7 linked regions of the Xenopus tropicalis genome follow. The protein of the gene in region 1 purifies or fractionates together with the protein of each later gene. This does not show direct contact. Links are inferred from orthologs where the notes say so. Each region holds a gene or a part of one and is shown in the gene's direction. Other genes may lie near its edges.

Region 1 (3,541 bases):
AGACATAGATGTTAGCTTTGAAAAGACTAAATAGTCTTCAAATATGCAAGATGTTGATGCATTAAACTTCTTCACTAGTAAACTAATATATATACATCAGAATTGGTCATTTTGTGTGACTTTTATTTATTTATTTTTTAACTATATGCTTTACTTTGCCAATCATAGGGACCGAAGACAGAAAGATCGAAAGAAGGATCGGGAAAGAGAGAAAGATACCCACAGACGAGACAAAGAAAGAAAGCGTTCTAGGTAAAGTCAAAATGTTATTCATTGTTTTTATTATCCTTTGATCCTTACCAGTTCCTAACCTTCTGTATTTATTTCTCTCAGAAGTGTGTCCCCCAACAGAGGAAAAGAAACCAAAGTAAAGAAGGAAGTAAAAAAAGAAGTGGAGGAAGAAGAGCAGACAGACAAAAAGTCAAAGGTGAGATGTGATTATAGTTCGATATGTATGTGAAGCCTTTAGGGAATATTGGCACTAAGGTTTCTAAGGCTTCAAACCTAGTACATATTGTCTTCCAAAAATATTCTGTTTAAGCTTAGGGTGTGCATTTCAGTCCATGTATGGTGTGGGATGTTGAATATAGAATTAAAGTTTAAATGCATTCTACTTTGCACCACTAATGAGGTGTGACAGTACTAAAACACTGTCAATATGCATAGCTAATGCAGTTAATTTTCCTTTTGCTTGAACTCCAAAATTGATAGTAATTGATAATTGATAAAATGTACAGGAGTTGGATCAGAATGTATAGATAAAGCGACAGGCCTTAAGGCTGAAATGCAAGGTGCTTTTGTGCAATTTTGATTTCCAAAGACTGCAGTCTTGTGGCAATAGGGTTTTGACCATGAAAAAAAATTGTGGTGGCATTGGGTGACCAGTGTAGTGCCAGTCAAGTTCTGCCACTGCATTGCCAGTGTAAGCCATGGTTAATTATTTAAAAAAAATATTGTAGATAGTCATAGATGTGTTCATCTATATTTTTATTATGGTTTTCCTGGCCTTGCACATATTTCTGTAAAGGTATGGGGCCTGTGATTCAGAATGCTTGGACTTGGTTGGAGTTTACCGGATAAGGGGTCCTTTCGTAAATTTGAATCTTCATGCCTTAAGTCTACTAAAAATCGGTTAAATGTTACATTAACCCAATAAGATTGCTTTACCACCAATAAGGATTTATTATATCTTAGTTAGTACAAGGTACTGTTTTGTCATTACAGAGAAAAATTTGTTAAATATGCTTTAAAATTATTTTATTAAAATTGAGTCTGTGGGATTTGGCCTTCACTAAATTCTGAGTTTTCTGAATAGTGGATTTCTGAATAACTGATCGCATACCTGTATATATAATTCTACATTATCAGCTGGCAAATACAGTTTTTCTTTATTATCTTTATGAACAAGTTCTGGCTTTTGCAGAAAAAATGCTGAAAGTTTTTACATTTGTAATTTTTATTTACTAATTACAAAATATGAAGGTTTATTTAGCAGGTCATATGAAATATGGTTATTAGATTTTAGTTTAATAGTGTTTGACTCTGTTTTCCAGGTGAATCCTTTGTCACTAGAGGAACTGCTAGCGAAGAAGAAAAAAGAGGAGGAGGCAGAGTCCAAGGTATGAAATCTGGGTTCTTTTTAAGAATCGGATAATTTGATTTCAACCTGGAATACCAGGTTGCTGAGCAAAAAAAGCATTTGTTAAAAGTTTGGCCACCTGATACATGCACCCCCCTTTATGTGGAGGTATGGGAAACGTATGGGTGTTGGACAAATGAGACTATTCCTTAAACTTTCAAAGGAGAAGGAAAGGCAAAGTCACTTGGGGGTGCCAAAATGTTAGGCACCCCCAAGTGACTTTAATCGCTTACCTTGTACCCCGGGCTGGTGCCCCTGTTCAAAGAAAACAGCACCAGCCCAGGGTACCTGTAGCTCAGCGCTTCCTCCTTCCTGCTTCCCTTCCGAAAATGCCAGCAGTCGGCACATGCGCAGTATAGTGAAAAGACGACTTCTCTGTTAAAGTTCGGCTTTTCACTCTACTGCACATGCGCGCGCAGGGAACCAGGAAGGAGGAATCGATCGCTGCTACCCCGGGCTGGTGCTGTTCTCTCCGAGCAGGGGCACCAGCCCTGGCTAAAAGGTAGGCAATTAAAGTCACTTGGGGGGGGGGCTAACATTTTGGCACCCCCAAGTGACTTTACCTTTCTTTCTCCTTTAAAACCACACATTTCGATCTTCAGCCATAAAAAGTGGGTGGTGATAGCAGTTTGCCGCCTTAAGTACAGTGTTCTGCTTGCCTACTTTTCCTAAATGTATATTTCATTTGGAGTCTTATTTACAGATTGGAGATCTATTGTCCAGAATGTTTGGATTTTAATAATTTTGTGCACCAAGCAAAAATATATCAGTTGCCATCAATTTCCATATACATATATGCTTTGTTGCTGCACTAACTGTTCTAACCCAGAGGGGGAAAATGTTTATTACTTTTGTGTTTTTGTGCATTATTTGTGTGTAATTGCTTGTGTGATATGGTTAGGAAATGAACGGCTAAATATTGTGTAAAAAAAGAACGCGCAAGTGCATTATGCTACTTTATGTATAGAAGGATTGTGCTTAGAATAGTTGTGTTTTGGGCTTATTTTTTGGAAATTTCTCTAAAAACCCTGCTAGTCCTGCCCATGTGTTCCACTTCCTGCTGCCTCCATTTGCAGGCTCTGCAAAGTTGCTCACGGCACTCGGCACACTGCAGAATATGAACCAATTGTCAGCACATCTTACCAGATAGGGAACTGAAGCCTGTCTTATGTAACTTCAGAACTGTGATTGGGTATCCCTCTGTTACTGTGCTTCAGGTAGGGACTGTTAGAATATGCCCCCACCCCTTATTTGAAACATAGTCCCTTTTTGTAGCAGATTTGTGGGGGCTCCAATATAGGGGCCATTTTTAAAGATAATAATTTTTAGCCCAAAGTGAAACCAGCACCATATATTATTTACTTTGGCCTACAAGATTGGGTGGATTTTATGCTATGCTTTGTCTCATTTAAAGAAAAATGTTGCTCTCAAATTTTTTCCTTCCCTTCTCATGGTCCCTTTTGTGTGTTCTTTTTAGCTAATTTTCTTTGCACAACTCAAGGCATCCACCAGAGCACATACTTCCCGGCTTGCTCTATTTGTCTAAAACTATGGTTAAAACTCTTTCTAGCAAACCAGTGCTGGCCATAGTATAGATTATCCCTCAAATTAAGATGTAACATGAAAGATATGAAGGGAACAAGGTATTGTTTCCGATTCTTCTGTGGAGGATGCTATAGCTGGCCATACATTGAATGATTTGCTCATTTGGTGAGGTTGCCAAATGAGCGGATCTTTCCCAGATACACTCACCTTGATGGCATACAGGCCATCATTACAAGGGCCACATCAGCGTGCTGTAGAGCTCCTCTTCCTAACTGTATTTTTAAACCTGCCCAGTCGACAAATGTCAATGTATTTCAACAAAAAAGTATTTCAGAAATCTTTCAGCATGCTGCATTC
Region 2 (4,145 bases), on another chromosome or scaffold:
CAGAGCAATAGTACATAATATATTAATTATTTTTATACACTTTCATTTTTTGGTGTTACTGTTCCTTTAACTTTTAGTGTGTTATAGAATTGCCTATTCCTATTCATTATTTCTTATAGTTTTGAATCATTTTTTTATTTTCTTCTAACTCTTTCCAGCTTTCAAATAGGGGTCACTGACCCCAGCAGCCAAAAAACTATTGCTTGGTGAGCATACAGTTTTATTGTTATTGTTACTTTTTATAACTTGTTTTTCTATTCAGGTCCTCTCCTATTTATTTACCACCCTTTCATTCAAATTGCTACCTGGTCGCTAAGGTAATCTGGACTCTAGCTCTAAGATAGCTGATGAACAAAAAGTGAAAGAACTAAAAAAAATACTACAAATAAAAAATTAAGACCAATTGCAAATTGTCTCAGAATATTACACTCTACATCAGGGATCCCCAACCTTTCATACCTGTGAGCCACATTCAAGTGGAAAAAGTGTTTGGGAGCAACACAAGCATGAAAAAGGTTCCTGGAGGTGCCAATGAGAGCTATCATTGGCTATTTGATAGCCCCCATGTGGACTGGCAGCCTACAGAAGGTTCTGTTTGGCATTATACTTGTTTTTTATGGCTGCAAAACATGCCTCCTTTACCAGAAATTCAAAAATGAGCACCTGGTTTGAGGCCACTGGGAGCAACATCCAAGGGGTTGGAGAGCAACATGTTGCTCGCAAGCTACTGTTTGGGGAACACTGCTCTATATCATACTAAAAGTTAATTCAAAGGTGAAGAACACCTTTAAATCTGCTACGCAGTAAAGCTATCCATTCAGTTATTTTACACAATAGGACACTAAAAAGTGTACACATTTTCTGGTCGGTCTTCCAAATGCTTTTGCAATTCAGATTTGTTTTCAGTTTCAAAGTTATTAAGCATGTTATAAGCGTCTATTATAATTATTATGTAACAATTGCGCCACCTACTGGTATATCCCTCCAATTGCACAATCTGAGAAAACATGGTCAAAATGAAACATGGAACTGTTCTTATTGCGCTCTTTAGCGACTGAATTCCCAGCACAGAGCGTTGCCTTACATACTGGAACAATATTGGAATAAGATTTGCCTTGTCCTATAACCACTCTAGGAACTAGATGCGCCCTCTTTGTTAACTAATCCACCCCGCCTTTTCTCTGTCAGATTACGCCGCTGCCCCTCTGCGTAGCAAACTGGAGGGAACTTGTTTCGTGTCGATCACGTGGGCACGTTTCTACAGGCTTAACCAAATCAAGCAGGAACTAGCCGCTAAAGTGGCCCGGAAGCGGAAGTGGCCCTTCAAAGGAAGCGTTCTACACGCCGGGAAAACGTGAGAAGGGAAAGGAAAGACAAAAAGAAAGATGTGAGTAACTGGTGGAATATCTTCAGCCCAGCTTTAAATACTTAAAAATAAGGAAAAAAACTAGCCTTTTGTATCTACTTAAGTTTAGCTGATTGACGCTTAGAACGAATGCCTCTATGTAGCAGAGCATGCGATTGTACTAGCCGGAACTTGCCTGCACTTAGAAAATGCTGTGTAGTTCTGTGATTTAATTACTGTGGCAGAGATGGCAGTGCCAAAAAGCTTCCCTTGCAGGCTACCAGCACCAGGTCGTGTGTATAAACAGCTCCCCGGGTTTTCTCATTATGCAATTGCATGTGACACTTGCTCACTATATACAGGCATGTTAATAACATGGCTACCTGCAGCAAGTTCTCCATCATCCGGGTGTGGGTGGCACATCGCTATGAGCATTTTTTTGGACAAAATGGTACTGTTTCCCCCAACCTAAGTGCGGGTTCTATTAGCCCAATTCAAATCCGATATGTGTCTTTTAATACTAAGCAACTATTCAGTATACACGATTTAAACATTTTCAATGGTTCTAAATGTTTTCAATCAATTTCTAATCAATTCCATATCTTTCCTGGTTGGACCCACATGACAAGTTTCTACAAAGGAAATATTCTGCAGCTTTATGTGCTTGCACGATTATAGAGATCTGTGTGGTCAACTTAAACACTAATTTGTGTTTAAAAAATGCATATGACTGAAAAATATGCCTTTTAACACATTCAGCCCAGACTTTTTTGTTAGTTTATTAAGGCTTAATTGCTCTAGCAATAAGGGGTGGGACTTCACACATGCTCAGTAATGTTTTTGACTATGGGGCACTCCTTTAAAAACATGGAGGCAGCAAGTAGATAGCGATGGGTAAAAACAGCTTTAAACATGATTATTTGGGGAAAATTAAACCTAGTAATTAAAATCGTACCAAAATGGACAGTTAATAGGGTAACCCATTTTTAATAAAATTGTATTCTCCATTAAACAAAAAATCACCAGTAGACGTTTTGTTGTCAGAAAAATAGTGTTATATCTGATTTAGTACAGTGGTGTGAAAAACTATTTGCCCCCTTCCTGATTTCTTATTCTTTTGCATGTTTGTCACACTTAAATGTTTCTGCTCATCAAAACCGTTAACTATTAGTCAAAGATAACATAATTGAACACAAAATGCAGTTTTTAAATGAAGGTTTACGTTATTAAGGGAGAAAAAAAAACTCCAAATCTACATGGCCCTGTGTGAAAAAGTGATTGCCCCCCTTGTTAAAAAATAACTTAACTATGGTTTATCACACCTGAGTTCAATTTCTGTAGTCACCCCCAGGCCTGATTACTGCCACACCTGTTTCAATCAAGAAATCACTTAAATAGGAGCTACCTGACACAGAGAAGTAGACCAAAAGCACCTCAAAAGCTAGACATCGTGCCAAGATCCAAAGAAATTCAGGAACAAATGAGAACAAAAGTAATTGAGATCTATCAGTCTGGTAAAGGTTATAAAGCCATTTCTAAAGCTTTGGGACTCCAGCGAACCACAAATGGCAAAAACATGGAACAGTGGTGAACCTTCCCAGGAGTGGCCGGCCGACCAAAATTACCCCAAGAGCGCAGAGACAACTCATCCGAGAGGCCACAAAAGACTCCAGGACAACATCTAAAGAACTGCAGGCCTCACTTGCCTCAATTAAGGTCAGTGTTCACGACTCCACCATAAGAAAGACACTGGGCAAAAACGGCCTGCAGGCAGATTTCCAAGGCGCAAACCACTTTTAAGCAAAAAGAACATTAAAGCTCGTCTCAATTTTGCTAAAAAACATCTCAATGATTGCCAAGACTTTTGGGAAAATACCTTGTGGACCGACGAGACAAAAGTTGAACTTTTTGGAAGGTGCATGTCCCGTTACATCTGGCGTAAAAGTAACACAGCATTTCAGAAAAAGAACATCATACCAACCGTAAAATATGGTGGTGGTAGTGTGATGGTCTGGGGTTGTTTTGCTGCTTCAGGACCTGGAAGGCTTGCTGTGATAGATGGAACCATGAATTCTACTGTCTACCAAAAAATCCTGAAGGAGAATGTCCGGTCATCTGTTCGTCAACTCAAACTGAAGCGATCTTGGGTGCTGCAGCAGGACAATGACCCAAAACACACCAGCAAATCCACCTCTGAATGGCTGAAGAAAAACAAAATGAAGACTTTGGAGTGGCCTAGTCAAAGTCCTGACCTGAATCCTATTGAGATGTTGTGGCATGACCTTAAAAAGGCGGTTCATGCTAGAAAACCCTCAAATAAAGCTGAATTACAACAATTCTGCAAAGATGAGTGGGCCAAAATTCCTCCAGAGCGCTGTAAAAGACTCGTTGCAAGTTATCGCAAACGCTCAATTGCAGTTATTGCTGCTAAGGGTGGCCCAACCAGTTATTAGGTTCAGGGGGCAATTACTTTTTCACACAGGGCCATGTAGGTTTGGATTTTTTTTCTCCCTAAATAATAAAAACCCTCATTTAAAAACTGCATTTTGTGTTTACTTGTGTTATCTTTGACTAATAGTTAAATGTGTTTGATGATCAGAAACATTTTGTGTGACAAACATGCAAAAGAATAAGAAATCAGGAAGGGGGCAAATAGTTTTTCACACCACTGTATATATTCCCAATTCTTGCATAGACCAGTATGTTAATGAAATCTAAACTGTGGTGGGGCTAATAGTGACATGAATGGTTTATAATCTCTCTAAAGAGCTGCAGAATGTATCAGCGCGTTATAATAATC
Region 3 (4,084 bases), about 90 Mb from region 1:
GAGCCCCCCCCCTCACCCCCAGGGTCTGTTCCCTCTATAGTTACACCACTGACATCTTTGCTAAATAACAGATTGCAGGAGCTGCCACAAAGCCAAAGACGTTCTATGCCAAAAATGAAATAAAGAGGCTTGCTAAAAACACATCAATAAATAGGATGACAATTGGCTAAATGACTGGGACGCTCAGTGGCATGTAGCATAAGGGCCCTCTGCAGTTGTGTAGGGTGTAATCAGCTTGGGTCATGAGGAGTCCCTCATGGTCAAAGATAGAGCAATGCACCTACACTGGGGCTCATCAGCTAAACTTCAGTCTAACTTCAATATTGCATAACAGTTCCCTCTCCCACAGCAGCAGTAGAGATGATCCTACTGGGCAAGGAGATACCCAGCAACCGTTGGAGGCACTGGCAGCTCATTTGCACATATGGTGCCAGTTTATGTTACAATGAGAGAAATATGCTCATTTATGCTTTGATTAAGAAACCTGAGGAACGCGCAGGGATAATATTGATGACACACACAAGGTCAGCCTCAATGTCTACATCACATTAAAAGTGAATTAAAGGTGAATTACCCCTTTAAGCTAACTGATCCCAAACACAAATGTATGGAGAACCCCTCACAGAAGTGCCTGTATGAATACTTTTACATCCTAAGCATTTTAGGGTTAAAAAAAAACCACTCCCACCCGCACTTTTGCCAGTAAATTAATCGGGATTTAGGGACTAGGAAATGCTCTTGTGTGCATTGTAAACATACCGCCATTACACAGCATTGTTCATGGCACCGCAACTCCAGGTGTTTCCTCATTAAAGCAATTAGTGGCTCAGTTAGCAAGCAACTAAAGGCCGTTCTCTTCCTATTCCTCTCAGTGCAGCCATTAACCTTACCTGTACCTGTGCAATCAGCTAATTGTCACCTAAATACGGAACTGATGGATTTTTGGAGCCTTTTGTCACCCAAACATCGTGCTGCAACAAACCAGCAGGAAGTATTGTGTGCAAGCCCTGTTTGGGGACAGGAAGTAACAATGGCTCCCAAACCACTGCGGTGTCCCGCTGCGAAGGCCCAATATGTCGCGTAGTTGAAGACACCCTAAGCCCAGTCTGAAAGCTTGCTAGTGGAACTATTTGACTAATTACAAACTCTTTAACTCTTTTTTTGCATTTTATTTTAATTCATTGCTTTAATAATAAAATAAAACCCTGATCACGTGTTAAGTGGGATATAAACGAGAGCTCACAATACTCCCGCGAGAATATGGCGCCACACGTATTTCCGCCGCGTAGCCAATACGTCACACCGAACGGTCCAATACGCTCTTCTTATTGGTCTTTGTGAAGGGTCACCAAATCGACTATTTCCGGTTTCTACTCCCTCTCTTTGCTTCTTCTCTTGTACATCCGGGTTACTGTGCCTATCGTGCGCTGTGCGTCCGGCGGCCATTGCGGTTCTGGTGAAGAGGCGGGAGCGAGAGGCTTAAGACCGAGATTCGGACAGAAAAGGTGCGTGTGCGTCGTATAGTGGGGACAGGGTGCTTGGAGGCTTTGCATTGGCTGCGAGAAAGAAGTGGCAATCAGGCGTGCATTTCGAAAGCCCAACAAGGCTTGCGTCCGGATATGTTGTGTGTATTCATAGTTTCTATCCGGGTTGTTCATGTAGAATTGCTGCGAGGTTTACTGAGAATGCCGGGCCATGTACTTAGCTTGAATTCATGTAAACGCGATCTGCAACCCAAAATTGTTTAGTGCAGACGAAAAGCGTAAATTGAAAAGTTGCTTAGAATTAGGATGATTAAAGTTTTTTGTTTACGTAAGTGCACCAGTATAGAATGTTTTAGTCTGCTTCATCAATCGGAGGCAGCAGCGTACAATGTAGCAGAAACCAGCTGATCTGACCTGCAATATTGTTGCAAGGGTTAGAACTGGGGTGCCTATAGGGACAAGCACTGCCTTTAACTACAGATACTTACAAATCACACAAGGTGTTTGATGCTTTGTATTACAGTATATAAAACTTCTGGAAAAGAACCAGTGTCCCCCAAGATAGAATACAGTAGTGACTACCATATATGTTTAGATGCCATGGGTTGGTTTTTGTGACTGAAAGATAAAACTTGGCTGAGGCAGAGGAAACTCACTGAATGTGTAAAAATCTGAACCTCTTCCACATTAACACTTTTCAAGCTTATGTAAGAAAAACGGTTCACTGGTTGTGCAGTTGTGGTATCTGTTATGAGCAGAAAGCTGTATGAAGAATTCTAAGCCTAAAGTTACTGTTTTTCCCCAAAAGCCAACAAAGGAATGATACTTTGCTATGGGATGCTAGGTGGTATTCTTCTATTTGTAGTAAATATAAATGGTCTACAACAATCAACCAGTAATCGTTGTGTAGCGTGCCCTACACATGGGGCCTATGTCTGGCACTGGCATAAACACTGGCAGCGAATGAACAGACACATGAAGTAACTATGGCTCCCAAACTGCTGCAATTTACCCTTAGTGGTGTTCATGCTAACTTCCCTGCCACAGCTCCAAGAAACCCCCACAGTTAAAAAAACATTAATCCCGGATATGGCATTAACACTTTATTCTGAATAGAAAATGTTACACAGCCTTCAGTTGGTTATTTGTGCAGTCCAGCTACACAAGTTCACTGCCTGCTTAATGCTGTACACTAGCCTAAAGTAAGGGAGAAACATTTTCTCTTTATGGTTGTGTTAAACATTTAATCATTCGTAACTTAAAAGCAATTTGATTAGATAAAATTAAGTGCTGCTATTTCTATTTTTTTCCAGTTTGAGACACCATGGCCGGGGTGTTTCCATATAGACCACAGGCACCGCCAATGCCCGGCCCCCCAGGTGGAACACCGGACTACATGTCTGAAGAGAAGCTGCAGGAAAAAGGTGCAACCTTCTTCAATTTGTTGTAAAAACCAAATGCTCTTTCAAAGTCCTTGCATACTTGGAGGGCTTCATGTGTCGTTGCTCAAAATGTAATTATTGATGAACTCGGCTGAATGTCACATACTAAACTAAATCTGACTAAAAGAATTGCATCTTCTGTGAACAAAAAATTGTTGCAGTATGCTTTATCATTTTAAAGTTGTGTGAGTGTTCAGTTTAGCTGAATGTTGGGTAACAGTAGTACAAATATATTAAAGAGGGAAGAAGGTTTTTTCTTTTTTAAATTTTGAGGATAAGTTAAGTACATACTGAGAAATTAAGCTTGAAATATCTTTGCTTGCTGATCATAGTAAAGAAACCACCTTTCTTTTTTGCCCAATTTTCTTAATTATGCAGGATTATGTTTGCGTTTTTGCTTCATGTTTAACACCAGTATGGTAGTAAATTGGATAGCTTATTCATGTCATATTTTTTTTAAACTGTATAGTTGTCTCATCCATGTTTCACTTATTTTGATTCCAGCACGAAAATGGCAGCAGCTACAGGCAAAACGCTATTCAGAGAAAAGAAAATTTGGGTTTGTGGATGCACAGAAAGAAGATATGCCTCCAGAACATGTTCGCAAAATTATTCGTGATCATGGAGACATGACCAACAGAAAGTTCCGACATGATAAGAGAGTTTACCTTGGGTGAGAGAATTAATTTCGGCAACATACCAGCAAGGCACTAACCTAAGCTGACAGACAGTAGTCCAGTGTAAATTAAAAAAAAAAAAGCCTGCAGAAGCAAGGTGCAGTTGTTTAGCAGGTAAAACAAGCAAAACTCAGTGGAGTGTAAGGATTGGAGTATTGCAGTACCACATTAACTAAACATAAATTGCCTTTGCACATTTTTTTAAATTGTAATAGTTAACCTCATGCTGTGATTTTATTTAACATTTTAAATTTCCAAAGTTCTGTTTTATGGTTAAGTGTATCCTGGTTTGTTTTTGTTTGTAGAGCATTGAAGTATATGCCACATGCTGTCTTAAAGTTACTTGAAAACATGCCCATGCCTTGGGAGCAGATCCGTGATGTCCCTGTGCTGTATCATATAACAGGAGCCATCTCATTTGTTAATGAGATTCCATGGGTCATTGAGCCTGTCTACATAGCACAGTGGGGGTAAGTGCATC
Region 4 (4,042 bases), on another chromosome or scaffold:
AGAGTCTGGAAGAATAGAAATGGCTGGGGGTTTGCGCTTGCCCAAAAAACCTGTAGGAGACTGGGAAGCAAACAGTTTATCTAGGGAGTCTGTCAAGACCCTGCAAGGAGGCCAGTGAATGAGCTAGCTTGCGTACCCAGGGAGGCTCAGGAATGGAGACCGAAGTCTAGCGCAACACTGGGTGCAATCAAGAAAAGAAACCTGTGTGGTAATAGGATTCCTGGTGGGTTCGGCCAAACCTTGGCACATCAATTGTGGGTTGCACTCACCTTCCCCACCTGTGACCTTACACTGCCGGCTTCCTCTTCCGGCTCTCTAATTTATAGGCACATGTGGGGCAGGTGCGGGTCTACAGAGGGAAGAAGCCGGGTCGGGCAGGGTTAGGGTTGGAAGTGGGCAGGTTAGGGCTGGGAGTGAGCAGGTTAGGGCTGGGAGTGGGCAGGTTAGGGTTGGGAGTGGGCAGGTTAGGGTTGGGAGTGGGCAGGTTAGGGTTGGGAAGGTTAGGGTTGGGAGTGGGCAGGTTAGGGTTGGGAGTGGGCAAGTTCGAGTCGAGGATTTCTTGACCGACACATCACTAGCTCCCACCCTCCTGCGCTGCCAAACCACATACAGCAGCGGAGCACCAAATCCTGCCCATGTAGCCCAAGGATGCTGGCTATCTCTGCCAGCAGTAGCCCCAGGGTCCCAGTCCATAGGGGGAACCTGCAACCTGCGTGAAGTGAGGGGGGGGGGGTGAGCAGCTCCCCTTCCCCCAGTTGCTGAAGGGACTTAACCAGAGCTCCTGCCCTTCTCTAGAGCTCCATACATGTCTGGGGGCTGAACCATGATTCCTGCCCAAGATCTCCTGTAAGGAAAAGGAGAGATGCAATATAAACAATAAAAAGTCAAATAAAATAAAGTAAAATAAATAGAAAACTCCCTGAAGGGGAGTTGTGTCCTCCTCCCATAAGTTCCAGTTCCCCCCCCCCCCCCCAGAAGGTGGTATTAACCCTTCAGTGCCGGTGTCCCCCTGGAACTGTGTTTTTATTAGAACAATTCGACCTTTACAGCAGTGCTTACTGCTTCCCTTCTAGTTGTGCCTCTCAGTCTGAGGCGCTCAGGCTCTATAATGTTCCAGAACACAGGGATTTGGAAATGTTGCGGACAGTTAACTATAGGAACCATTATTTCATAGGGTCGGGTTTCCAGGGGGAGGGCTATTGTGCTGCACAGGGAAAGCTTTTCTGCTTCCGGGTACGAATGTGAGCTGTTCTGCCTACAGGCTGTTACAGTACTAAAGGTATGTAGTGAGGGTGGGTTTATTGTGTCAGGGGTATCAGTCTGGCAACTAGTGTGTCCTTCCTCCCTGTCTAACGGGGGATCTGCTGTCCCTGTATCTGTCACTCTGGGGATCTGCTGTCCCTGTATCTGTCACTCTCTGGGGATCTGCTGTCCCTGTATCTGTCACTCTGGGGATCTGCTGTCCCTGTATCTGTCACTCTGGGGATCTGCTGTCCCTGTATCTGTGACTCTGGGGATCTGCTGTCCCTGTATCTGTCACTCTGGGGATCTGCTGGCCCTGTATCTGTCACTCTGGGGATCTGCTGTCCCTGTATCTGTGACTCTGTGGGGGATCTGCTGTCCCTGTATCTGTGACTCTGTGGGGGATCTGCTGTCCCTGTATCTGTGACTCTGTGGGGGATCTGCTGTCCCTGTATCTGTCACTCTGGGGATCTGCTGTCCCTGTATCTGTCACTCTGGGGATCTGCTGTCCCTGTATCTGTCACTCTGGGGATCTGCTGTCCCTGTATCTGTCACTCTGGGTTCTGCTGTCCCTGTATCTGTGACTCACAAGCAAAACCACTTGTGAGTATGAGCCCTAAAGCCAGAGAAAGGGTTGGGGGTGGTTCTGCATATTACTGAGCAGAGGCAAGAGAAGAAGGGAAACTCTGGGGGAGCAGAAAGCTCTATATAGGAATCCTTGCCTGCTCTGAAATCATCAACTTTAGACAAACTTTACTCAACACCCACCACTTGCCCCCCCCCCTCTATATTGATGGCCATGTTGGGACCCTAAGCTGTAGAATCCCAGCTCTCTAATTTATGCACAGGAGTGTGATGTCACAGGCATAGGTATAATGAGCGAGGCAGGAGATTCAGTTATTGCATGTCACCAAACATGGCCACCCTCACTGGGAGCTCCCTCCCAGTATGAGCATGTTTAGGCAAAACAGCATTGTTTCTGGGGAGTGTAACAGGAAGTGGGTTCCCTGTGTCCCAGGACTCTGTGTCCCTGTTGCTGGGACAGCCACCGTGCCCTGTGTCCATAACCCTAAAACATGTCTATATACCCCCCAAAGATAAACTGGTAATGTTTGAGAATACAAAGCGTTAGAAAACCAATTAATGAATAACCTTTAACAACTTCCTTTTATAGAGATGGACACCCCTTCAACAGACATGGATCCTGAACTTGCCCGGCAGCTGTTCTTTGAAGGTGCAACCCTGGTGATATTGGGGGTACCAGAAGGCTCTGAATTTGGCATAGACTATAATAGCTGGCAAGTGGGACCTCGATTTAGAGGTGTAAAAATGGTGCCCCCGGGTGTTCATTTCATGCACTACAACGTGGTTGGTAAAGGAGGGGGCCTTGGAGACATGAGCCCGCGCAGCAGCATGTTCCTCTATTTGCAACAGAGAGAGCTGCGTCTTTTCCGCTGGGACCCCCAGGAGGAAGAGATGGTCGTAGCCCCTCAAGAAGAAGCCGAAAAACTAAGGGAGGAGCTTCAATCCTTAGATTCCTTCCTGGGGCCATATCCTTATCAGAGCATGCGTCGCTGGGTGTCGCTCAGTAATCACATCAAGAAAGAGTCCATGTTCAGGCTACAGCCGAAATGTGGCACCATCTTCTCCTTTCCTGAGGTCCTTCCTACGGAACCCATGACCCACACTGCCGACCGAGTCCAACATAATCTGCCCAGGTATGGGAAAAGCCAGGGGGAACTAACAGCGCTGTCAGGAGGGTGGGAATTTACCAATTTGATAAGTGTCCTATTAGAAATGGTGTGCCTATTATAGTGTGTATTTGTGGGAATGTATGCAGACTGGGTATAGGCATTTGTATGTTTTAGAATAAAGAAACTTTATTATTTTTTTTATCCAAACATTAGGTCTGTGGCACTTGGCTGCCTGCTATATACCAACTTTTAATTTGTTTTTACATATGTTTACTATTCTCCATAAAATATAGCATTGGCTTTGTACTGTATTGCTATAGCGCCACAGATATAGGCAGTGCTTTACAAGGTTTGTTCTCTTCCCAGATATGACAGTGTGTGCCAAAGCTATAAGGAGGGCATGGCCAGGCTGCCCCAAATGAAGCAGAAAGAGGGAACAGAGATTCGGTTTAGCCTGATTCCTGACAAGACGTACCCTGATAATGCCACCCCTACTGAGATCACCCAGCACAGCTTGGACCTTTCCTATGCCCTGGGGCAGTTGCTGAATACACACTACCCAGGGCAACCCTTGGAGCTGCTTGGTAAGTCCAACTGCTTTCTACTTTAACCCTGTTTATGTGCATAGTGGCATAGTAGTACAGGTGGGAGGTGGGTTTTGCCCAGTAGGGACTTACCTTACTTATCTTGACTTTAACTCTTTCCCTTCCAGCTGAGCTGCAGTTCTCCTTTGTCTGCTTTGTACTTGGGAATGTGTATGAAGCATTTGAGCAGTGGAAGAAAATACTGAACCTTTTGTGCCGGGCAGAGAATTTCTCCCTGCAGCACCCAGAACTGTACATGGAAACTATATCAGTCCTATACCACCAGCTGGCACAAGTACCCACTGACTTCTTTGTTGACATTGTATCCCAGAGCAATTTCCTTACCAGTACTCTGCAGGTACTTCACACTTTTTTACAATCTACATTCTTCTGTGTGGGACAGGAATGTTCAGTTTATACCTCATAGCTTGTATTTTAACTGGAAGTCATAATTTAGTCATTTGCAGTCTATAAAAAGATCGGGTAACCTGTGCTATTTCTGATGTTTTTGGGCTACAACTC
Region 5 (4,279 bases), on another chromosome or scaffold:
GTGTCAAACAGATAAAAGTGGCCAGTGGACCCCTTGTTGCATTTAGCTGGCTGCTGGGCAACCTTTCCAGTGCCAAAGAAGAAGGGCAGAAAGCCTGGGCAAGTGGTGATGATAGTGGCATAGGTTACCTTAGTAACCTAACTTTATGGAGAGGAGACTCAGCTTTCCCCATGGCCAAAGAGGGACCCAAAGAGACAGGGGACCCAGTAAAAAGCAGCTGACATTCCCCATTCACAGCCCCTATGGCCCATGGGTGGTATGGGGGTGTCCAGAGATCCCAAGGTACACCCCTGGCTTCACTGTATTGGACAAGATTATTCAACTGCTTCACAGGTGCCAAAGAAGAAGGGCAGAAAGCCTGGGCAAGTGGTGATGATAGTGGCATAGGTTACCTTAGTAACCTTAGTAACTTAACTTTATGGAGAGGAGACTCAGCTTTCGCCATGGCCAAAGAGGGACCCAAAGAGACAGGGGACCCAGTAAAAAGCAGCCCACATTCCCCATTCACAGCCCCTATGGTCCATGGGTGGTATGGGGGTGTCCAGAGATCCCAAGATACACCCCTGGCTTCACTGTATTGGACAAGATTATTCAACTGCTTCACAGGCCTCATACACAGGCCAATTTCAGTTGCCGATATTTGTCCTTTAGACCTTGCCAACAAGCGGATCTTACAGTGTATGGCCCCCTTTATAATCAACTTGGTTCTCAGCTTCTTTTCTTACACAATACCCAGAAGTCATGGATACCATTACAAATCACAAGGCACTAGTACCCACCCAGGCGGCACACAATTATTTACCTACTGGGCACTTAGGGACCTAGACTGTGGGCCCCGCCAACAAGTCACCAATGGAAAAATAAGAATAATGGGCAGCACATGCATAACCAAGGCCCTGATCAACCCCAGTCACATCCCATTAGAGTAAAATCTTGCCCACAATCCACCTAAACCCTACCCACTCCCCCTGCCCTTTAATGACCAGTGAATCCTTCTTCTGGAGCCCCCTCTGCCACAGGGCCTCTGATTGCAGCACCCCTTTACCCCACTGATGGCAGCCCTTCCTATAGTAATTGGAAACACAATTGCAATTCTCTGCCCATGGCTATGATGCAGGCTACATGTTTGCTGAGATGTCATTTGGGGCAATGTAGTAAATCATAAATATCCCCATAGACACTGTATTGCCTGCTTATATAGTAACCTGGGATCCCTATGGAATGGGTTATTCTAGGTGCAACCATTAAGCAGAGATCATGTAAAAGCACTGCTAAATGCCAATTTGAGAGGGGAAAAAAGTACATAAACTTTCATAGAAATTTCTTTATTTTCCAATTACACAAATACAACTTTCCCCATTCGCGCCTTTAGCCTCGTTTGCAACACACACATGCAGTTGGAAGAACACCCCACTAGAGGGCGTTCTGAAGCGCCGCCCCCAACCTCGCACACTCATTGTTGTTTAGCACTTCCGCGTATTAGCGAGGTGCATGCTGGGAGGAGGCAGATTGAAGCCCGGGAAAACCTTATGGCTTGTTAGTTTGCGGTATGGAGGAGGCGGAGAAGAGAGAAACCATTATAGCTGAGCTGAGAGCGATAGAGAGCAGCGCTGCCAACCTGTGAGGCCCCGCTAGTGTGAATGGGAGAATGGTGACTATAGCGTTAGGCCCAGGGAGACAGTCACATGATGCAGTGTAAGGCGGCAGCGGCCCTGTGGATGTAGCGATCCGATTAGGGATATCCCTGCGCTCCTTCCTTGGTACCGCCATACCGGAAGTGTTCTGGGACGCGCATCCATTAATACCGTCCCGCATTTGTGCTTCAGGCATAGCTTCATGAGCCCGCACCTTGCCTGGCTGGCTGGGAAGGACATATAATGTGCAACGTTTGTTAAATATTTTGAGTGTATCTATCGGTGCTGCCTTCATTCTGGGGTTCCACTGTGACTTCCGGTATCACCCCAATAGGGGTGGGAGTTATAAATAAATCTCAACTTGAGGGTAGTGAGTTGGACATTGATGTAGTAAGCAGGAAAATATAAGGTACAGACTGGGTCCCACAATTCGGCCATATGCAATGGAATATTCTCCTGTTTGGTTAGAGATGCCAAGAAAGGCATAGGGAAGGGATTTTACACTAGAAGGAGCATCCCTGCTGGGCTCAGTAATGGAAATGACATGTTGTACAGTTCTGCACCTCACTTGGGTGGCGGGAATATCAAGGGGGCGGGGAATTAGAAGCACCCAATGACTGTCCTTAGAATACATTCAGACGTGTGATTGGATGATGGAATTGCATTTCTTATTATTAGAGATCTTTCTATTAATGTTGATGTGCCCTGTCTCTGACTGCACTGCTAGTCCTAACTCTTGGGAATGGTGATTCCTTCATTATTTATACATTGTCTGAATTTCTCTTTCATATTGGAAAATGCAGTCATACCTCCCAACTGTCCCGCTTTATGCGGGACAGTCCCGATTTTGCCACCCTGTCCCGCTGTCCCGGATAGCTGCAGATCTGTCCCACTTTTAAAGGTCTCTGCTCCCGTGACGCCACACGCACGTCTCCCCTTAGCGCCACAGCTTCTGCGCCGCTCACTTCAGTTTTAACATAAAGCCATTCACAGTGCAGCAGCTGCGGCACTCAAGAGACGTGCATGTGACGTCACGAGGAGGAGAAGAAGAGCCCTGGGGCACAGCCGGAGGAAGCTGGTGGTGGTAGGAGCAGGGGGTGCCACAGAAAGCAGGTTGACGCTGGGGAGGACACTGGAGGAAGGTTAGGGGCAGCTGGAGGACCCTGGGAGGCAGCTGGAGGATGCTGGGGGGAGCTGGAGGATGTTGGGGGAGCTGAAGGATATTGTGGAGGATGTTGGGGGGAGCTGGAGGATTTTGGGGGGAGCTGAAGGATTTTGGGGGGAGCTGAAGGATGTTGGGTAGGACGCTGGGAGGAGCTGAAGGATGTTGGGTGGATGCTGGGGGCAGCTGAAGGATGTTGGGGAGGATGCTGCAGTGGGGAGCAGCCCGTAGTAGGGGGACACTGCGGGAGGACCAGCAATGTTTTAGGGGGTCCCTGCTCTAGCGCCAATGCAAAACATAACACCTGGCTACCAATGTCTGGTCATGAGTTTGTCATTAAATACAGGTGCCACAGTGCATAATGAAATCCTTAGGGCCACAATATGTCATAAAATGATTGGGGCCACCGTGTCTGTCTTCTGGTGCACTTTGTGTATGTTATGCTTTTCAGGTGTGGTTTTGTAAAATGGGCCTGTTTGGGGGGGGCGTGGCCATAAAGTGGGCGTGGCCTAAAAATGTTGGCTTGCGCGCCAGACATTTCTGTCCCTCCTTCTGCTTTTCAAATGTTGGGAGGTATGAATGCAGTAGCATTGCTGGGTAGGCTGGCATGTTCCCATGATTTACTCTCTTATAAATACAGTCAGTGGCATGAATTTATATTTTGTGTTCGTTAAGTGACTCCTCGCTTTAGTGTTTTACACCATAACATTCCATTACACCTTTTTAGTGATCAAATTAAGGTGTTCTTTAAATTCTAAAATAGTTACTCATTTGCCTGTTATGGGACATCTATGTGTCTGTAGGCCTACAGTTCACCCTCTGTATACTGCCTGGCTGGGGTTTCAGGCCTGCCTGCCATTGCAAAGAGGTGGCCATTTAATTGAATTGGTATAAATGAATGTGGTTTTTGTCAGGAGAATCTACTTGGCAGTTAGCAAGGGAGGTGCTATGTGGGACATATTAATAGGCACCCTTGCAACTATTAATCATTTATTGGTGCCTATGAATTTACCTTTATAGATTCTAAGGTATGAAAATGGGTGGACACCCCTAGTGCCAACTTCTAGTGGCTCTGGTGCTGCTTCGGGATGGCAGAGATTTGCCAAAGTAAAAAATTCTTCCATGGTAGCTTCTATATTAGTCTGCATGTAATGTAAAATATGATGATGATGTTATGAATTTCGGACATGTTGGGACTCGATGTGAGGGCCGTTTATTTGGAAGAAATGGCCGTGTAGCTAATGTTAGGCTCTTCATGTAAAACTTACTGGCAGACCTTGCTAGGGTTGGCACGTAGTTGACAGGAGACAACTTGCTGACACTTGATGTGAGTGAGGACTGGTTATGTGGGATATATGTCTGTTTCAGTGGATATAATGAAATCCTAGCTACCGCAGGCTTTTATTCCAAGCAGAGGCTTTTGTTAGAACTTGAACACCAGTTAAAATGAACATTGAAGGTTCATGTGTGTCTATTTTTTTTT
Region 6 (3,541 bases), on another chromosome or scaffold:
TGATGCTGTAATGTATATGTTTAGTTTCTGTATATTGACAGCACCTGAAATATTGCCTCTCGTGATTGTTAAAGCTGTGTGTGAACTCTATATCTTTTCCTCTTCAGGAAGAAGCTGGGAGAGTTTTTTCAGACCAAATATGACTGGGATTTGCTTGCTGCCCGTTCTATTTGGGCTTTTGGACCAGACACAACTGGACCAAATATTTTGGTTGATGACACGCTCCCCTCCGAGGTAGGTGGCACTTGTGCAGTAGAGGAGATTGTTTGTTCTTGTACTCATCCTTTATCCTCCAGGCTTTCCTTACCTATTAGTGTAAAAGCACCTGCATAAGTTTTAGCTTTCCATGGGCAAAAGAACACTGATAAAATGACTTCTGCCAGTGCACCTATGGGTTAAGGCAGTGATCCCCAACCAGTGGCTCAGTAGCAACATGTTGCTCACCAACCCTTTTGATGTTGCTCCCAGTGCCCTCAAAGCAGGAGCTTATTTTTAAATTCTAGGCTTGAAAGCAAGTTTTAGTTGCATCAAAACCATGATTACTGCCAAACTGAGTCTCCTTTAGGCTGCCAGTCCACATAGATGTTACCAATTGCCAATCACAGCCCTTATTTGGCACCCCCAGGAACCTTTTGCATGTTTGTTTTGTTTTACATTTGAATGTGGCTCACTGGTGAAAAAGGTTGGAGACCACTGGCTTAAGTGATTACAGCTTCATGATTGGCTGATGTAACCTCTTTAGGTTATACTGCAGTAGTCTAGTATGATCCACCTGGTTTTTGTATCAGTTGATTGGGGTGCAGATGTTGCCTATAGTACCAGAACTCAGCTGGTGATTTAAATTCAGGTTTCCTTTTAGACAAAGACTTTCATTCTGCTCTCAGAATTATTTCTGCAATTGAGTTCCAGGGAGTGCAGATGAAATCAGAGCTGCCTTCCCTGGCCAAACATTTTTGTGCCAAACTAGCAAGGTATTGACACAGACAAAGCCTCTCTTATGAATGTCTAGTGCTCTTCTTCCAGGTACCACTTCTGCCAGCCAGGTTTGCATTTCCGGCCACTGGGAGAAACAAGCCAGCAGCCAAAATATAAAGACCGGCTCCCTTTTAAGATTTTTTTTAATGCTCACAATTCTGGTTGAGGAAGAAAAGCAGGTCCTGATTAAAGGAGAACTAAACCCTAAAAATGCTAAAGGGCTGTGGTCGCTTGGGCTGCTACAGAAGCCCTAACCAAAATGTACAACATTTTTAGCCTAATTCTTTAGTTAAGCTTTAGTTCCCCTTAAAATATTTTATTACAACGCAGTGATTAACAATTAACCTCAACCTACATCCATATTTGCCCCAGTGCTCTAGCAGCGACATTACCCTAGAGTGTAAATGCAGAAGTAGCTTGCTACAGGGATCTATATCTCTATATCTATCAGCTAGAGCTGCTTATGTGCACTGCCCATCAACTTGCATGTTAATGAAATTCTCCGTTGTGCCCTAATAGGTGGATAAGGCGTTGCTGAGTTCAGTCAAAGACAGCATTGTACAGGGATTCCAGTGGGGAACAAGAGAGGGTCCGTTGTGTGATGAGTGTGAGTATCTGGCTGCACCTTTCTCTGGTTCCGTCACAGTGTAACATTGGAAACATTCTACAGTTTGGCACTACAGGGAATTGCTGATTTTCTGCTCTCCTTTGCTCCTCAGTGATCCGCAATGTCAAATTTAAGATCTTGGATGCTGTTATCGCACAGGAGCCCCTACACCGTGGTGGGGGACAGATCATCCCCACAGCCCGAAGAGTGGTTTACTCCGCCTTCCTAATGGTAACATCCTTTGTCACCACATTGACTCAATACACATGTTCCTTTATATATAATACAGAAGTGTCTCTGTGCCCTAAAACTGTATCCCCCACTATAACAAACAAGCACCTTCATGTATATATGTATTTCCTGTCTATACCATACCGTCTCTTTATATAAGACATGTGCCTTGGTTCTTCTCTCTTAAACACAAAGTACTTTCCTCTGTAAATACAGGCAACTCCTCGTCTAATGGAGCCCTATTATTTTGTGGAAGTACAAGCCCCTGCAGACTGTGTCTCTGCTGTTTATACTGTTTTGGCCCGAAGAAGGTGAGTAATTGAGATTCCGCTTCCTGACCAACAGTATTGTCCCATAACATACTCTAAATATATTTCATTTTCTACAGAGGGCATGTGACTCAGGACGCCCCAATTCCTGGGTCGCCTCTTTACACAATCAAAGCCTTCATCCCAGCAATAGATTCATTTGGGTTTGAAACTGACCTGCGAACACACACCCAGGGACAAGCCTTCTCCTTGTCTGTCTTCCATCACTGGCAGGTACAAATCTAACCATCTGGGATATCCTGGGAAATCAACTTGGATATGGTTTGAAATAGTGGCACCCCCGTGATTTTACCACGCCATTTCCTGCTTTCTGACAGTTAGTGGCATACTGACATAGAACATCTTGCAAAGGAAGGGAAAGTAGAAGTTATTGATAGTTCATTACCCATTTTCTGTTTCTGCACCCCCCACTGTGCTTTGGGAAGGTGCCTACCCCTAGTTCTGGCGCTAGTATTTTCATAATGCACTGTGCCAGTTTGCTGTTTAACTTGCCTGCTATCTTTTGGTAGATTGTTCCTGGAGACCCTCTGGATAAAAGCATCATTATACGGCCCTTGGAACCACAACCAGCACCACACCTTGCCAGGGAGTTCATGATAAAGACAAGGCGTAGGAAGGTAAGTTCTATGTGGCTGAGAAGGAAGAGAGGGCAGGTTGTTCAAAGACTGTTTGGGGTTTCTTTTCATAAGCAATTTCAATCCTAAACAGTGTGTTTATGAGTAAATTGGTGGCTTTTCTGAGGAACTGCAATTCTCCGTGGCTTCATAAGCAGCTGTAGCACCTGGAGAAGCATAGGTTGTGGGGAAATATACAAATGAAAGGAATAATGTCATGCCAGTTTGTCATTTAAGAAATTGGACTTTTTAAAATCTTCCGTGGGCTCAGATAGTGCTACATCTGAACTCGAAACAAATGTTTTGCTCACTTAGTCTGCTCAGCTTCCTGGCTGCTGCAAACTGTTACACATTCATCTTTTGTATTTAGGAATTAGGCCAGTTCTTTTCCCAGAGTTGCATTTCTCTTTCCTGTTAATACTGCTGCAGAGACAGCTTCATGCTCTGTTCTTGTATAAAGGAGTGCCTCGCCCCCTTCTGCATTTAACCTCTTACATTATTTCTTTACCATGCGTAGGGCCTAAGCGAGGATGTGAGTATCAGCAAATTTTTCGACGATCCTATGTTGCTGGAACTGGCGAAACAGGATGTGGTGCTAAATTATCCTATGTAAAAGGGACATGTGTCCATCCAACCCCCGTGATTGTACTCTCCCTCATTCCATAAGGCCACATACTCTCACACAACAGCTACCTGGTACTTCTGTCGTCAAACCAGACATGAGTTACAGTTGTTAAACCACTGCCAGCGGGGTTAGACAGGCATAGGTCAGGTTTCTGGCCACT
Region 7 (4,021 bases), about 57 Mb from region 1:
AAAAAAAAAAAAAAAAAAAACAATTGCATATAAAATTAGAGTCACATAAAGATATATATACAAATATGTATATTTCGTAAGTCTCTGAATAATGAGATAAATACGCATAACATAGGGCAGGGACACTTTCATTCTTTTTCACTGCAGGTTCAAACCCATACACTGTGTAACTGGGTCACTGTGACAATAGATTTGTAATACCTTATAGTAATCATGGCTGCTACAACACATAGGGCTAAGGAAGTCACCCGAAGTTTCCTCTTAAGGCAACTTAAGGCGACTTCAGAAAATCGTAGTGACGCATATGCCATCCCACCGGCGATTTACATTCCTGCTGGTGGGATGGCATAGCAGGGAGATTAGTTGCCCGCAGCAACAAAGAATTGCTGCGGGGCGACTAATATACCCGTCTGTCACCTCTCTAAATTTACAAATACGCTTGTAAATGTGGCTCTATGTGCAGAATAACATATGGCCTTAATCCTTAGCCTATTTACTAGCGTATAAGCCAATATCACCAGTGATGTTGCACATAGCAAACAATCAGCAATTAAGAGTTTAGCAGTCACCTAAAAGTTAGAAATCCAAAGCAAAGATCTGATTGGTTGCTAAGGGCCACATCACCACCAATGATGTCGACTTACACACTATAATAGATATGCTCCATATAGAAGAGAAAGTGAAGGCATGTCCAGCCTATGAATCCTTCAGTGTGCGCTAACAGCATGTAAGGCACCTAAAGCCAACAGCCCCTTTTACTGGAGTAGACAAAATTACATGTGATGTGCCTAAAAAAATTGAATCACCTGCAGAGAAATATCAAGCTGCGTTAATAATGGTTTATGTAATAGCCTATTAATCTTCTTCTAACTGACTTGTTATATATTTTACCTTTGATGGGCCGCCATTTCGCTGTCTCCTCCCCGGCCGATCACATTTAACCAATTACAACAACTTCTACGTCATTTTCTCTTTCTCCTGTATCAGCCCAGTTGCTTAAACATCCTTATACGCGCAACCCCGCCCATCGTACGTCATTACTAATGGACAAAATCGGCGCAAGCTCTGTTCCGCCCCTTAAAGGCTTTCAAGGTCACATGATTGTCTTAGAGCCAATCACCACTATAATCTTTATCAGGTAGTGACTGCGCAGGATAATTGCGTGAGCATCCTGCGCTGCTGAGTGGGAACGCAAGCGAGTCTTACAGTGTGGCTGGGTTTGTGAGTGTTAGACAAGCTGGAAGGAGTTCTTGGAAACATGATCGAGCAAAACAAGCGGAAGGGAATGGAGTTGGTGCCGGTACAGGCAAAAAAACCGAGGAACGAGTTGGTGGTTTCGGTAAGAATGAAGAATTTGAATGAAATGGTTGGCTTGGATAAGTGTAACCATTCATTCCTTGGGCATATTTGACTTGGACTTTAGGTAAAATTATAGACATAATCTAAATCGTACCATTATTTCCTTTATTAAAAGATTTAGACGGTATAAGAATAAGCTAAAAAGTGTAATCATAAGGCTCTAACGTCTGAACATAGGTAGGGGTATAATTACTTATAGTATTGACTCGTCTTGTGCACCCCACACAGCCATTAAGGACCTTGTGATTACACTTTGCTACGCTAATGGGTTGTGGTTTTTCGTTTATGGGACTTTCTAGTTGTTTTAATGAAGGTAATCAAGTTAAAGTTTTCTTTTTTAAAAAAAAAACTTTATTTCCAAAAGTTATAAATAGTAAATAAAAAGCTAGTATTTTTACTGCTATGGGACTTTCTCTTAACCCATTTTCATGCCTTTTTTCTGAAAGGGGTAGTTCAGTTTTAAAATGTCCTTTAGTATAGTGTAGACAGCATGACCTTAGTCTGTATATCTGTTTCTCATGTTTTAGTTTGATTATTTCTTCTGCGCCTCTAAGGTTTGTTTGTTTAGACCTCAATTCTCCTAGCAACCAAGAAGTAGATTGGAACTCAAAATGGCAAATAATTAGGGAAGGATCTCAATAGACTGATAAACAATAGGCAATATAACAATAATACTAAAACTGAATTTTAAGGGGAGAAAATATGCCAAAGAGTAGTTAAAAGAATACTGACGTGGAACGTGTCAGTATTACTGACAATGCAGCACTTGGTTGGGCTTCCCCCAGCCCAAACACACTTACCCCATCCCAACACTACTACACGCAGAATGTTACTTTAACGAGTTGTCTGTCAGTCACACTGGCCTCCATGCAATCCTTCCAACGGCTGGAGTACAGTTTACATTTGTATTCCTGCCTATAGAATGATGGCACCACCCACAGCCCGCATGTCTGCAGGGAGCATCTCTTTATCCAGACTGCTGGCTTAAAGGAACAGTAACATCAAAAAATTAAAGTGTTTTAAAGTAATTAAAATATAATGTGCTGTTGCTCTGCAAAAAACTGGTGTTTTTGCTACAGAAAAGCTACTATATAAATAAGCTGCTGTGTAACCATGGGGGCAGCCTTTCAAGCTTGAAAAAAGGAGAAAAGGCACAGGTTATGTAGCAGATAACTAGTAGATCAGCCCCATATAATGGGGGTTTATCTGTTATCTGCTAAGTAACCTGTGCCTTTTCTCCTTTGAATGGTTGCCCCCATGGCTACACAGCAACTTACTTATATAAACTATAGTAGTCTTTCTGAGGGAAACACACCAGTTGTAGCAATGCAGGGCAACAGTACATTATATTGTAATTACTTTTATACACTTTCATTTTTTGGTGTTACTGTTCCTTTAACTCTGCCTGTGGTAAGTGTGACTGGGCTGGAGGAGATTTGGGGTAAATCTTCAATAAAAGCAGTAGTGTTGTGCTGCATTATGGGTAATACTGACAAGTTCCTTACTGTTATAGGAATGTGTCAGTGCCCCTTTAAAATAGAATAGAAATGGTAATTTATAGAATACTAAAAATTTAAGGTGAATAAAATATTTCTTTAGGTAATAAATGGAACTGAATCTACTTTGATGTTTAATTCTCTGAACTTGTTGACTGCAGGGTCCCCCAAGATCATCCAGTCTTCAGGCTCCCATCATGCTGCTTTCTGGTCATGAAGGAGAAGTTTATTGCTGCAAATTTCATCCCAATGGTGTAACTTTGTCTTCTGCAGGATTTGACAGACTTATCTGTAAGCAACTTTCACTTGTTTTATACGCTTTGTATTTTGCAGCTGTTTGACTTAGTAGCAGATGTTGTTTTTCATCTGTAGAATCACACAATTAATTGGCCATCTATACGTTACTAATTAAGGATTAATCTGCACCTCCTGTAATTTTGTTATGCTTTTTAGCTCCTTTTTAGCACATTATCACACTATACAAGCTGTAACATTAATTATGAATGTTACAACTGATCAGATTAAGAAAGTTATGCAGGTATGTGTTATTTTATTTTTTCTTTTCTTGTAATATTTAATCAAATTAAATAAGCTACCATGTTTTGGCAGGTTTGCCCAGCAGGTAACTTATTCTATTAAACAAAGCAAGTAAATTTAGCAGCACACATGAACTTCTTTGTAGGTATTTAACTGATTTGCAAGAAAACTGACACCGTCTGAATCTGGAATTTACAAGGAATATGAAACCATTTAAACTTTAGTTTTATGCTGCATTGTACATTAATAACAATTAGAATTTGAATCCAAAAATGAAGCTATGTATTTTACCCTTAAATTGTGAAGTTATTGAGTGAGTTTATTTTGACTTGCCTTGTAGTGCTATGGAATGTATATGGCGACTGTGACAATTATGCAACTTTGAAAGGACATAGTGGAGCAGTGATGGAGCTTCATTACAATACAGACGGGAGGTAGGTAATTGTCTGGTCTGGGGCTTATGTAGTCATTTTTGTTTTACGGGTACTGAAAACTATCCTGTGTATTACACATTGGTGGTACTAAATTATGCATACTAATTTCTGTAAAATTGCAAAGACCAGGATGCCAGACACTGTAATATCTTTGGTTTATGCCTGATTTTCCTTAAATGTGTCAGTGCTGTTCTA

What was found.
Region 2: the proteins of ddx23 (region 1) and snrpd2 purify together in Homo sapiens (affinity purification with mass spectrometry; 3 studies listed by BioGRID and IntAct, counting the BioPlex papers as one, with this or other methods). This does not show direct contact. The link is inferred for Xenopus tropicalis from reciprocal best matches to the Homo sapiens genes DDX23 and SNRPD2.
Region 3: the proteins of ddx23 (region 1) and prpf8 purify together in Homo sapiens (affinity purification with mass spectrometry; 5 studies listed by BioGRID and IntAct, counting the BioPlex papers as one, with this or other methods). This does not show direct contact. The link is inferred for Xenopus tropicalis from reciprocal best matches to the Homo sapiens genes DDX23 and PRPF8.
Region 4: the proteins of ddx23 (region 1) and aar2 purify together in Homo sapiens (affinity purification with mass spectrometry; 3 studies listed by BioGRID and IntAct, counting the BioPlex papers as one, with this or other methods). This does not show direct contact. The link is inferred for Xenopus tropicalis from reciprocal best matches to the Homo sapiens genes DDX23 and AAR2.
Region 5: the proteins of ddx23 (region 1) and tssc4 purify together in Homo sapiens (affinity purification with mass spectrometry; 3 studies listed by BioGRID and IntAct, with this or other methods). This does not show direct contact. The link is inferred for Xenopus tropicalis from reciprocal best matches to the Homo sapiens genes DDX23 and TSSC4.
Region 6: the proteins of ddx23 (region 1) and eftud2 purify together in Homo sapiens (affinity purification with mass spectrometry; 6 studies listed by BioGRID and IntAct, counting the BioPlex papers as one, with this or other methods). This does not show direct contact. The link is inferred for Xenopus tropicalis from reciprocal best matches to the Homo sapiens genes DDX23 and EFTUD2.
Region 7: the proteins of ddx23 (region 1) and snrnp40 purify together in Homo sapiens (affinity purification with mass spectrometry; 3 studies listed by BioGRID and IntAct, counting the BioPlex papers as one, with this or other methods). This does not show direct contact. The link is inferred for Xenopus tropicalis from reciprocal best matches to the Homo sapiens genes DDX23 and SNRNP40.

The regions. Positions count from the first base shown.
Region 1 is NC_030678.2:135,997,367-136,000,907, reverse strand, and holds part of ddx23 (probable ATP-dependent RNA helicase DDX23), read left to right. Parts: intron 1-168; coding exon 169-252; intron 253-333; coding exon 334-427; intron 428-1,553; coding exon 1,554-1,619; intron 1,620-3,541. UniProt on the Homo sapiens protein: Involved in pre-mRNA splicing and its phosphorylated form (by SRPK2) is required for spliceosomal B complex formation.
Region 2 is NC_030684.2:70,386,177-70,390,321, reverse strand, and holds the start of snrpd2 (small nuclear ribonucleoprotein Sm D2), read left to right. Parts: upstream 1-1,314; 5' UTR 1,315-1,385; coding exon 1,386-1,387; intron 1,388-4,145. UniProt on the Homo sapiens protein: Plays a role in pre-mRNA splicing as a core component of the spliceosomal U1, U2, U4 and U5 small nuclear ribonucleoproteins (snRNPs), the building blocks of the spliceosome.
Region 3 is NC_030678.2:45,519,496-45,523,579, forward strand, and holds the start of prpf8 (pre-mRNA-processing-splicing factor 8), read left to right. Parts: upstream 1-1,274; 5' UTR 1,275-1,505; intron 1,506-1,529; exon of another isoform or gene 1,530-1,624; intron 1,625-2,797; 5' UTR 2,798-2,808; coding exon 2,809-2,908; intron 2,909-3,430; coding exon 3,431-3,599; intron 3,600-3,908; coding exon 3,909-4,073; intron 4,074-4,084. UniProt on the Homo sapiens protein: Plays a role in pre-mRNA splicing as core component of precatalytic, catalytic and postcatalytic spliceosomal complexes, both of the predominant U2-type spliceosome and the minor U12-type spliceosome.
Region 4 is NC_030686.2:39,757,155-39,761,196, reverse strand, and holds the start of aar2 (protein AAR2 homolog), read left to right. Parts: upstream 1-1,236; 5' UTR 1,237-1,279; intron 1,280-2,416; 5' UTR 2,417-2,418; coding exon 2,419-2,960; intron 2,961-3,302; coding exon 3,303-3,520; intron 3,521-3,648; coding exon 3,649-3,878; intron 3,879-4,042. UniProt on the Homo sapiens protein: Component of the U5 snRNP complex that is required for spliceosome assembly and for pre-mRNA splicing.
Region 5 is NC_030680.2:22,340,726-22,345,004, forward strand, and holds the start of tssc4 (protein TSSC4), read left to right. Parts: upstream 1-1,447; 5' UTR 1,448-1,620; exon of another isoform or gene 1,621-1,695; intron 1,696-1,718; exon of another isoform or gene 1,719-2,043; intron 2,044-4,279. UniProt on the Homo sapiens protein: Protein associated with the U5 snRNP, during its maturation and its post-splicing recycling and which is required for spliceosomal tri-snRNP complex assembly in the nucleus.
Region 6 is NC_030686.2:17,884,231-17,887,771, forward strand, and holds part of eftud2 (116 kDa U5 small nuclear ribonucleoprotein component), read left to right. Parts: intron 1-107; coding exon 108-234; intron 235-1,494; coding exon 1,495-1,582; intron 1,583-1,694; coding exon 1,695-1,813; intron 1,814-2,029; coding exon 2,030-2,124; intron 2,125-2,201; coding exon 2,202-2,355; intron 2,356-2,651; coding exon 2,652-2,759; intron 2,760-3,273; coding exon 3,274-3,369; 3' UTR 3,370-3,541. UniProt on the Homo sapiens protein: Required for pre-mRNA splicing as component of the spliceosome, including pre-catalytic, catalytic and post-catalytic spliceosomal complexes. Component of the U5 snRNP and the U4/U6-U5 tri-snRNP complex, a building block of the spliceosome.
Region 7 is NC_030678.2:79,150,089-79,154,109, forward strand, and holds the start of snrnp40 (U5 small nuclear ribonucleoprotein 40 kDa protein), read left to right. Parts: upstream 1-1,186; 5' UTR 1,187-1,258; coding exon 1,259-1,339; intron 1,340-3,016; coding exon 3,017-3,146; intron 3,147-3,732; coding exon 3,733-3,826; intron 3,827-4,021. UniProt on the Homo sapiens protein: Required for pre-mRNA splicing as component of the activated spliceosome. Component of the U5 small nuclear ribonucleoprotein (snRNP) complex and the U4/U6-U5 tri-snRNP complex, building blocks of the spliceosome.